3 linked regions of the Lepisosteus oculatus genome follow. The protein of the gene in region 1 binds, or shares a complex with, the protein of each later gene. Links are inferred from orthologs where the notes say so. Each region holds a gene or a part of one and is shown in the gene's direction. Other genes may lie near its edges.

Evidence for each region.
Region 2: dhx16 (region 1) and cwc15 share a complex: the UniProt entries of both Homo sapiens proteins name them as parts of the minor spliceosome. The link is inferred for Lepisosteus oculatus from reciprocal best matches to the Homo sapiens genes DHX16 and CWC15.
Region 3: dhx16 (region 1) and snip1 share a complex: the UniProt entries of both Homo sapiens proteins name them as parts of the minor spliceosome. The link is inferred for Lepisosteus oculatus from reciprocal best matches to the Homo sapiens genes DHX16 and SNIP1.

Annotation. Positions count from the first base shown.
Region 1 is NC_090709.1:40,380,143-40,383,893, forward strand, and holds the start of dhx16 (pre-mRNA-splicing factor ATP-dependent RNA helicase DHX16), read left to right. Parts: upstream 1-871; 5' UTR 872-1,091; intron 1,092-2,712; 5' UTR 2,713-2,713; coding exon 2,714-2,911; intron 2,912-3,751. UniProt on the Homo sapiens protein: Required for pre-mRNA splicing as a component of the spliceosome. Contributes to pre-mRNA splicing after spliceosome formation and prior to the first transesterification reaction.
Region 2 is NC_090700.1:12,136,519-12,140,269, reverse strand, and holds the start of cwc15 (protein CWC15 homolog), read left to right. Parts: upstream 1-1,362; 5' UTR 1,363-1,424; intron 1,425-2,173; 5' UTR 2,174-2,182; coding exon 2,183-2,313; intron 2,314-2,708; coding exon 2,709-2,821; intron 2,822-3,691; coding exon 3,692-3,751. UniProt on the Homo sapiens protein: Involved in pre-mRNA splicing as component of the spliceosome. Component of the PRP19-CDC5L complex that forms an integral part of the spliceosome and is required for activating pre-mRNA splicing.
Region 3 is NC_090706.1:12,464,219-12,467,969, reverse strand, and holds the start of snip1 (smad nuclear-interacting protein 1), read left to right. Parts: upstream 1-1,020; 5' UTR 1,021-1,166; coding exon 1,167-1,342; intron 1,343-2,272; coding exon 2,273-2,378; intron 2,379-3,220; coding exon 3,221-3,751. UniProt on the Homo sapiens protein: Required for pre-mRNA splicing as component of the spliceosome. As a component of the minor spliceosome, involved in the splicing of U12-type introns in pre-mRNAs. Down-regulates NF-kappa-B signaling by competing with RELA for CREBBP/EP300 binding.

The DNA of each region.
Region 1 (3,751 bases):
TGAGAGACAGGCTCACTGTCTGTTCCTCAGGCTGGGACAGGAGATCACACACTGTATTATTATTATTGAGAGACGGGCTCACTGTCTGTTCCTCAGGCTGGGACAGGAGATCACACACTGTATTATTATTATTGAGAGACAGGCTCACTGTTCCTCAGGCTGGGACAGGAGATCACACACTGTATTGTTATTATTGAGAGACAGGCTCACTGTCTGTTCCTCAGGCTGGGACAGGAGATCACACACTGTATTATTATTATTGAGAGACAGGCTCACTGTCTGTTCCTCAGGCTGGGACAGGAGATCACACACTGTATTATTATTATTGAGAGACGGGCTCACTGTCTGTTCCTCAGGCTGGGACAGGAGATCACACACTGTATTATTATTATTGAGAGACAGGCTCACTGTTCCTCAGGCTGGGACAGGAGATCACACACTGTATTATTATTATTGAGAGACGGGCTCACTGTCTGTTCCTCAGGCTGGGACAGGAGATCACACACTGTATTATTATTATTGAGAGACAGACTCACTGTCTGTTCCTCAGGCTGGGACAGGAGATCGCACACTGTATTATTATTATTGACAGGCAGGCTCACTGCTCCTCAGGCTGGGACAGGAGATCACACACTGGGCTGGAGTGGAAATTCTCGGATTAAATTTGTCATTTCAGGGACGAAGGTCTAATCCCAGAGTATTTATCACAGGGCGGAAGAAAGCTCATCCGCCTGCAGTATTATATACCCTCAACTTGGGCCCGGCCAGGCGGAACATGCGGTAGTGAAGACGTAAGACGCGTGGTGCCGCCAGGGGGTGCTCTGGCGTTCCTCTCCCCGCCTCGCCTGCGCCCTTTGACCCGAACTTCCGCTTCCGGGTGAAAGCGGCGGCGGCGGTGGTGGGGGGTCAGATGTTGTTATGGCGTGTGTTTGAAAGTTGAGGGTGTGGGTTCGGATCTTGATTCGAGCGGGACCGGTTCCGGGACCATGAGGTGCTAGGAGCGGGCTGCCTGAAATAAAGAGCGAAGAAAACAAACAGCGCGGACGGACAGGAGACCGGTTCGGACGGGAGGGTCGCCGAGAGAGAGACATGTATGTAAACAGTTCAGCTCTCGGTTTTCAAGTCGCTGCACTGTAAATGGTGCGAGGTGTAGTCATTATCTCCCAGTATTGACATAAAACTGTGTGTTTGCGGTCGGGATCTCACACACATACGACGTTTAGCCTCTATCTGATCATGAACCGGTTTTGTTTATCTGTTGTTTTTTCTAAGTAAATAAAGCACAACCTCGTCTGCTGGTTGTTGTTGTCGTCCAAGCGCCGCTCGTCTGCGCCTTCGTAGCCGGAGCGCGGTGCGAAAGGTGTCGTGTCGTGAACGTGATGTCGTGTGGACGAGACGAGATGGATTTAAAGGCACTGAAGAACTAGTCCAGCTCCCAGTCCAGTCAGTCCAGTCCAGCCTGGAGAGTCTCAGACTGCTCTGTCAGTGTCACTGGAGTCTGATTATAATCCCAGTGAAGAACTCATCCAGCTCCCAGTCCAGTCAGTCCAGTCCAGCCTGCTCTGTCAGTGTCACTGGAGTCTGATTATAATCCTAGTGAAGAACTCATCCAGTTCCCAGTCCAGTCAGTCCAGTCCCGCCTGGAGAGTCCCAGACTGCCCTGTCAGTGTCACTGGAGTCTGATTATAATCCCAGTGAAGAACTGATCCAGCTCCCAGTCCAGTCAGTCCAGTCCAGCCTGGAGAATCTCAGACTGCTCTGTCAGTGTCACTGGAGTCTGATTATAATCCCAGTGAAGAACTAATCCAGCTCCCAGTCCAGTCCAGCCTGGAGAGTCTCAGACTGCTCTGTCAGTGTCACTGGAGTCTGATTATAATCCCAGTGAAGAACTCATCCAGCTCCCAGTCCAGTCAGTCCAGTCCAGCCTGGAGAGTCTCAGACTTCTCTGTCAGTGTCAGTGGAGTCTGATTATAATCCCAGTTCAGAACTCATCCAGCTCCCAGTCCAGTCAGACCAGTCCAGCCTGGAGAGTCTCAGACTGCTCTGGCAGTGTCAGTGGAGTCTGATTATAATCCCAGTGAAGAACTCATCCAGCTCCCAGTCCAGTCAGTCCAGTCCAGCCTGGAGAGTCTCAGACTGCTCTGTCAGTGTCACTGGAGTCTGATTATAATCCCAGTGAAGAACTCGTCCAGCTCCCAGTCCAGCCTGGAGAGTCTCAGACTGCTCTGTCAATGTCACTGGAGTCTGATTATAATCCCAGTGAAGAACTGATCCAGCTCCCAGTCCAGTCAGTCCAGTCCAGCCTGGAGAGTCTCAGACTGCTCTGTCAGTGTCACTGGAGTCTTATTATAATCCCAGTGAAGAACGCGTCCAGCTCCCAGTCCAGCCTGGAGAGTCTCAGACTGCTCTGTCAGTGTCACTGGAGTCTTATTATAATCCCAGTGAAGAACGCGTCCAGCTCCCAGTCCAGCCTGGAGAGTCTTAGACTGCTCTGTCAGTGTCAGTGTCAGTGGAGTCTGATTGTAATCCCAGTTCAGAACTCGTCCAGCTCCCAGTCCAGCCTGGAGAGTCTCAGACTGCTCTGTCAGTAGGTTTTAGACGTGTGCTCTGGAAGTGTAGAGGTGTGTGTGTGTGTGTGTGTGTGTGTGTGTGTGTGTGTGCCCTGTCACTGTACAGCCTCAGTCATGATCCGTGTCTCTCCCTCGCCCTCAGAATGGCCGGCCTGGAGCAGTGGGTCAGTGACCAGCTCCACGGCCTCCTGGGCCTGAGCGACCGCTACGTGGCGCAGTTCCTGATCGGCACGGCCAAGAGGAGCGCCAGCGCCCAGGACTTCCTGTCCCGGCTGAGGGAGACGGGCACCATCGACGTCGACCAGCGCGTCGCCTCGTTCGCCGCCGAGCTCTACGCCAAGGTACCGGGCCCCTGCCTGCTCCCTCCCCCTCCGGCGCGGAGGCAGCCAATCGCGGGCCGGTCGCCGCGGCGCCTCGCCGGGGAGCCGGCGCTGATTGGACGAGCTGCCGGACTGGTCCTCTTTCGCCGACGTCACGGTCGGGTGTTGCCCCTGGCAACCAGAGGGCGCCAGTCCGCTCCCCCCACACAGCAGCTCTCAGTGGGGAGGAGAGCAGAGGGATGGAGCCAGTTCAGAGAGGGGGGTGATTAGGAGGACATGATGGGTCAAGACCAGGGGGGTATTTGACCAGGACACTGGGGTAACACCCCTACTCTTCTCGAGAGACACCCCGGGATTGTTAATGAGCACAGAGAGTCAGGACCTCGGTTTGACGTCTCATCTGAAGGACGGTGCCTTTTTACAGTCCAGTGTCCCCGTCACTATACTGGGGCATCAGGACCCACACAGACCGCAGGGTGAGAGCGCCCCCTGCTGGCCCCACTCACACCTCCTCCAGCAGCAGCCTCAGCTCTCCTCCCAGGAGTCTCCCCTCCAGGTACTGGCCAGGCTCACACCTGCTGAGTCTCCAGTGGGGCTGTGAGCTGGGTGAGAGCGCCCCCTGCTGGCCCCACTAACAGCTCTCCCAGGAGTCTCCCCTCCAGGTACTGGCCAGGCTCCCCCTGCTGGGCTCCAGTGGGGCTGTGAGCTGGGTGAGAGCGCCCCCTGCTGGCCCCACTCACACCTCTCCCAGGAGTCTCCCCTCCAGGTACGGGCCGGGCTCCCCCTGCTGGGCTCCAGGGGGGCTGCCAGCGGGGGGCTGCGGGGTGACACGGCTGCTGAAGGCCTCGGCCGAAGTCCCTG
Region 2 (3,751 bases), on another chromosome or scaffold:
GTTAAGCCAGTAACGGCTAGTTACTGTCAATCACACTGGCCCTTGGATAGCAGTGTGGTCTGGATACCACAGTAGTACCCTTAGGAAAATAACCTTGAAGTTTTATATAAAATGCCAGAAGCTTCTATAAATACCTATAAGTCATCCATAAGTGATTTTCATAAGGATATCCATCCATCTATTTTCTAAGCACTTATCTGATTTAGGGTTGCAGGGGAGTTGGAGCCTATCCCAACAAGCAATAGGCACAAAGCAGAAAACACTTTGGACAGAACTCCAGTCCATCACAAGGTAGATACACAGACACACAGACACACCAGGGCCAATTTTCCCAGAAGCTAATTAACCTACCAGAATATCTGTGGATTGTGGGAGTCAACCAGAGCAACCGAAGGCAGCTCACGTGACCACAGGGAGAACATACAAACTCCACACAGATAGAACCCCAGGTGCACAATTGAACCCAGGGTCCCAGTGCTGCAAGACAGCAATGCTAACCACTGCAACCAACATGCTGCATTTCATAAGGGTATACATAACACAGTCCTCTTCAAGACTGATTGCAAACCAGCAAGTTTCAAGGAATAATTCATTGTATGCTTTCAATAACAATATTGTAACTGCAGACATGTTAATGTCTGTGTGCACATCCAAGGAACAAAAACAAACTATTTGAGTTCAGTTCAATGAAAGCAATTTACCAAGCAAATATGCTGTTGTTTTATCCAACTACAATTTAAAGAAGGGGGCCTTTACAAACAGTACAGTTTTTATAACAGTTTAGTATCTAAATCCCCCCAAACTCCCTATCAGTTGTGTCACATGGGTTTCAACATTTTAACTATAAAAAGGAGATAAAGTAATTAATGCATAGAAGAAAGTGTTATAAGCTCTTCATTCTGTATGAAAGGGTATTTGAACTTAGCTGTTTTTATGGCAAACTATAGTTTTATTGTTATTAATAGTTGTATTACTACTGAAAGTAATTAAATGGTACAAGTGTTGCTGAAATACCTTTGCCCTCTTATTTAAATGGTTGTTGCTGGTACAGAATTGAATGTTACCATTAAATGAAACTAAACTGCATTCCAAAACAACCCAATCTTAGATTCTGGAAACTCTGGAGGAGCACTTGCAAATTCTTAGATACTCTCTAGTACCATGATTTAAGATGACATGGTAAATAAAATAGTTTTAATTGAAATAAGACTAAAAGCAGCTGATGTGATACATTTAAAGTTATAAGTTTATTAAAAATGGCTTGACACATTTATTTGGTGTTTTCCACGAGAATTGTTCATATCTAAAAACGATTTTTTTGCGACCAAAAGACTATTTGTCCCATATGACACTCCGTAGAGCCTCTGACCCGTTCCGCGTTGCAGTCTGGGATATCGGAGGTTCTAGTTGTTGTGGAGCGTAATGTAAGATACAATTCATAGGATAAATAAGGTTTCTTTTTGTCATAATTAAATATCTAAGGCTTTAAAATAGAATGCCAAACATTTTATATTATACATTTAAAAGTGTTACATGTAAATCCGTTCAGATCGTTTTAGGTACAAATTATTACAATGTCGGTTTGTAGCTGAACAGCGTTCAATGAAAATTTTCGTACGTTCTCAAAAGGAATATTGTTGAATAATGTCAAAATTAACAGTACAATATTTTTATTTGTTTCGGGATTCTGCTCTATAATTTGTTTTAATTTACACGGTCTAACACAGGTTTCCGAATCTATCAAAACAGTAAAAGTTTCTAGCTTCAACAAATGTGCGTTGAACGCCTTTCTTTTTGTAATCCAGTACCGTGGGATTTCAGTTTAAGAAGCCAAACGTGAAATGTAGCGTTTTTTCACAGGCGTATTCTAAGTCTTCTATCATCGCATGCTAATAAATCTTGGATTTACGACTTTCTTACGTATTACAGCAACTTTGAGGCACTGAACGATAATGTTACACGCATGAACATGTGTCCCATTGCACAGAGGTGGAGGTGTCGGAACTACGTGCTTGGCTGCAGAAAACTGCTGTAATGAGTTTCACCAGGTTTACTTACGGCTGAGAACGAGAGGACCATCAATTGGCACTTGCGCGTAACACTGCCGTTTAAAAAGTTTGCTTCTTGAGCACAGTGAAAATATTGCCCTTTGCTCCGTTTTGCGTTTTTCCAGTGAGTGACGATGACTACAGCTGCCAGGCCTACCTTTGAGCCCGCGAGAGGAGGGAGAGGCAAAGGAGAAGGAGACCTCAGTGCTCTGTCCAAACAGTACTCCAGCAGGGATTTACCTTCTCACACCAAAATCAAATACAGGTTAGGCCTGCTAATCCAGAGTTGGGGTGGGGGGGATTTTATTTAGCAGTAGGTTCAACCACTCCTTGATTGTGAATGCTTCTATTTGTACCTTGTATATGATTTGAACCATGTATAGGTTTATTTGTACCTAAAGTTATTTATCTTGCAATAGTCATTATTTTTTTTCTGTGTAAAGAAGATTGGCAGGTGATGTTCTCACTCAGCACCTTCTTCTGAGAATGAAATTTGTCTTTTGGGGGTGTCTGGAAGTACATAAGCTCGACAGTATAGGTAGATTTCATTTTGAGGTAGAATTTTGAATTAGTTCCCTACTTTGCAACACATCTAAGTCTCCTTGTCTTGTCCTGTTTGCCAAGTATCTTCTGTGCTCACACACATGATATTTCTCTCAGGCAGCCCACCCAGGATGCCCCCGAGGAGGTGCGTGCCCGGGACTTCCGCAGGGAGCTGGAGGAGAGGGAGCGAGTGGTGGTCAGGGAGAAGACCAGGGACAGGCCAGCCAGAGGTGAACGGCACAGCACTAGCAGTTCAGGTTGTGCCGAGGCCTCCGAGCCAAGGCACCCATACTGTTTTTCAAAACCTGTGTGATGGGCAGGAGGAAATTGTGTCCGTTTGTCTTTTTGTCAGAATTAAAGGGGCACTGCAACACTATTTTAATATTTCGGGGTTAGAAAGGATTCAGCATCGATGAGGGCATTTCAAACCACAATAAAAGTAAAATGTGCACAGTAACTTGTAAAACCTCCAATTTACATTAAAAATGGATGAAATTTCCAGGTATGCACAGTGTTATATTCAGGGTTTCAGAACAAAATTTCTGGTGAGGTGTTGCAGCCCTGTGACTCTGTGAACAAGCAGGCTTGTGAATACATCTCATTTAATACATCTCTCGACTTTCAGATGGTTTTGCCAACAAATACAACTTATTTGTTAACTCTGTATGCAGATCACGTTGGAACATTTCTGCGGTGAAGTGTCTGCTGCACAGCCTGTCCTTATCCACTCATACATCACATTACATTAGTCATTACGGTGACTAGTGAGCAGGATGGGCTGCATCATGTCACAGTCCGTGGGAAGTGTTGCTCTTGCCTGCGGTGAGACCAGGGGTTTGCGATAACATGTCCACAGTACTTTCACAAATTTCGCGATTTTGTGCTTCATTCAAAATTTGTATTTTTTTTTCCTATAACGTTGATAAATTTGTTTTGTAACGGAGATTTAATAACCAGTCTGAGAAATTCTGACTGCAGTTCCCGTTTAAATGACTCCACAGCCATAGTCGATTTAAGGGCCTCTTGAGCTCATGCAGTGTTGTATATGAATCAAAGGCTTCTTGATGGATGTTAATACCCATGGTCTTGTTTTATTCCAGAGCACACCACATCCTCCTCCTCTTCTTCCAAGAGGCCACGGTTAGACCAGATCCCAGCAG
Region 3 (3,751 bases), on another chromosome or scaffold:
GTGAGATCTTGAACAAATGGCCGAGAAGAAACCATTTTTTTCATCTGTGTCATAAACACCATATAAAAAGGAATACTTTGGCTCTTAGCAGTGGACGTCTAATTCATATACTATTGAAAGTAGCAGATGGGGCTGAAGACACAAACCTTAATGGTAATAAAAAAAGAGGCAAATGGAAGCTTTAAAACATGTACCTGGATATAGGTTTTTAAAACAATGTCAGAAATGCTACATCATTCGGAACATGAGAGAACTGAAGACCAGGTTAATCAAATATGAAAATAAAATGATTTCAGTTGTTAAATATTACAAATGCTCAGATTCACTATAAAAATACAGGTAAACTAACCATAACCAGCCTTCAAATGTAACTAATCATACGGGCAATATGTTCTGTACTGTAAAAATGTTCTAAATATTTAAAATTTAGAATAAGTGTGCCTTGTAAACATTGAATATTTCTAGCATAAGCACTAAATGTTAAATATATTGTTATATTCATAAAATAATATAAAGATACATTCATTACAAATAACCGACGTTGAGACGTATATTCTCAGGCTTTATGTGGTATATAAGAGAAAATATTAAAATAACTAAGTTTTAACACTCAATTTACAATGTTTAGTTCACCTCCTGGTGTTCCGGGATTTGCGCCAGATCGCAACCTTACAAAACTAGCTTGTCGAAGAACACACGAATACATTAATTTACAGTTAATACGTGACATTATAAATATTATGTGTGGGTTTAAAAAAATCTGGAAAAGCAGAAGCGTAGGCAGGCTGAGACGTATGCCTGGGTCCTTGACGTTATTTACGCAACACAGTTTGTTTTTTTTTAAAACACATTTATTTTAATAAAATATATTTTGAGTATATTATGGAATTTCTATTGTAAAGAATGCCAGTACATCATAAGTCTCACTTAAACTGATTTATATATTGAAAAGTTTATCCCATAGTATCGAATTAAGCGGAACGATATAGCTCGAAAGGCTTGAAACATCCGGATCCCATATACGATGTGCCCGGAACCGGAATAAGCCCGATACGAGTTCTGTGGTAGACGGACTTTGCGTTTGTGTAAGGAATTACATCTGAAAAATATCTGCGATGAGAGTGTTTTAAATTCTCCTAAACGATATTAGACAAATCGTTTGAGAAATGGACAAGGAGAGAAGACACAGAAAGCTGGAGTCCCCTCCTTCACTGAAGGAAACAAAGACGAAAATTAAACAGGAGAGGCTGAGCCCCGTCAGGCCTAAAAGACCTCGCCGCTCGAGTTCGGCGTCAGATCGCAGCAGCGCAAGCCCACCCCCGCACAGGAGAAGAGCCAGCAGGTAGGGAGGGTACAAGAAACGAAAGCTGGGAAAAAAATAATAGGTTTTTATGTATTTACAAATACTAGGCGTTTTATACCGTATCTCACGAAAGGAGCCGTCTTTTGGTAGTGCATTATATACAGCGTTATAGGAGCTGCTGTGATTGAAGGCCTAGCTCTTTCGATTAAGTTAAATACTGGGTACGCCGCACGTTAACTCTGTTATAGTCCAAATGTAGTTATCCGTTAGGAAGAAAATAATTTTGCGGCTGAGATCATTCCAGTGAAATCAACATCAACAAAGAGGTCAGGACAAACAGAATTTCAGTCAATATAAATAACTTTGTATTATTTAATAGGGGGAATTGCAAAAGGGGTCAACCCTTTCCTGTGTTTGAACATTACACATCGCGGTACAGAGGCGTTATTAGGTGGGAGTAGTGTAAATCACATCGGCGGGGGTGTCACTTCCACTCTATGATGCTGTATATAGTTAACGTTTAGGCTGGCCTGATTTACTTTGATGATTTTGCTACCTAGGTTCATTATTTTACTCCAGCCGGTAACAATTTGAAGTGCCGACCGATAAGACGTTTTCAGGAAAAGATTTATAGAAAAGTGTAAACCTGCCTCTGTCCATCCCCTTGTACAGTGCAGCACTAGAAATTGCATCAAGCCTCTCTGAGTGATGCTCTGCTGTGGTTGTGTTTGGGATGTGACCTCAGGCATTGCAGAACGCCGTGCTTCTTTATCCTAAGTGGGTGGCTGGGGATGTGTTGAGTAGATTGTGCAGACAGGCAGGTCCTACGGCAAGGTAATGCAAAGTTTTGGGGTTGAAGACTTAGCTATTAAGGTTTCTTACCGTCTTCAGTGTATAAAGTGTTACTTTAGTGACTTGAGCAAGGAGGAATATTTTTGTTGTAGATTTATGTGTGAACTATGTTGATAGGTCACCGCCCAGAGGAAGAGACAAGTCCCCAGTGAGACGGGGCAGCAGGTCTCCTAGGAAGAGAAGGAGCACAAGTCCTCCCTGTAATGATGTAAGAATAAAGCAGGTAATTCACATCATGGCTCCTTTCTGTTTTCCCAAAGTCCGTTTTGTTCTTATGAGGCTATGGTGTTGAGTGGTGACTCAGTGTGGGGTGTGTCCAGACGAGCCATCGAGAATGGCTTCAGCACCTGTGTGGAGGTGGAAAGGGCGACATCAGCACCACAATTCAAGTGTTTAAGATGGTGCCAGAGACCTGGCACTGTAGGTGTCAAAGGGTTTAACTGGAAGTAGGATTGCGTGCACACATTGTTAGCCAGGTCTCTCAGTTAATTCTGATTCTGGGTGCAGAGAGAGAGAGTAGGTGGCAATGGGATAAGTGCAGTATTTTATATTTCATAGAAGTGTTTTAGTGGATGCAAAAAGTCACAGCACTGGTAAGCGAAGGTTTGAAACGTGCTTTGCATTGAAAAAGGCCATTTTCTGGCGAACACACACAAAGTGCATCTTTCTGTAACACTCTGCATTGAAATATTCTCAAAGAGTTTTCATAATCTGAGTACAACCCCAGTGTCTTTCTGATATTACTGTGGATGAGTGTTGAGGAGGGATCACTGCATATGCATTAGAATCTACGCAGAGATTTCTAAATGGGGCACAATGGCTATTTTTGAATATATATATCACATACAACAGGAGCAAATTTCTAATGAACCCCAGATCAGATTCTGTAGTGTTGCACCAGTGAGGTGTGTCTGAAGGGTTTTACATTCAAGCACTGCTCTGAAGTCCAATGAAAGTTATTCCTCTCCTGGGACAGGAATAGAAACATATGCCTTGTTTTGGAATAGGCCTTTTTCTTGGGCTCTGAGATTAACGTGAGATCACCCGGATTGTGGTTGTTGTCAGGAGCGAGATGACCGCCGTGGGAAGGAGGAGCGGAGGCACAGAGATCGCTCAGAGGCGTCTGACGACATGCGGGGCAGAGATGCGGGAAGGGTCCGACACAGAGACAGGGTGCCTGAGCGGGACAGGAGGATGGGGGAGCGGGGCCGGGACAGAGACGCCCAGGTTTTCCAGCAGCAGCAGGCCGAAAGGGAGCGCCACGAAGAAAGGAGGAGGGAGAATCGGCAGAGAGACGAAGATCGCATGGACTCGGAGGACGCGGGCTTCGGTCAAGAGGAAAATAACGATGACAACCCCGTCCAGAAGGAGCAGCCCAATTTCGAACTGTCCGGAGCCTTGGTGGAAGATACCAATACGTTCCGGGGGGTGGTGATTAAATACAACGAGCCCCCCGAGGCTCGAATTCCAAAGAGAAGGTGGCGGCTCTACCCTTTCAAAAATGACGAGCCCCTGCCAGTCATGTACATTCATCGCCAGAGTGCCTATCTCTTAGGCAGACAAAGAAAGATCGCAGACATTCCCATCGATCACCCT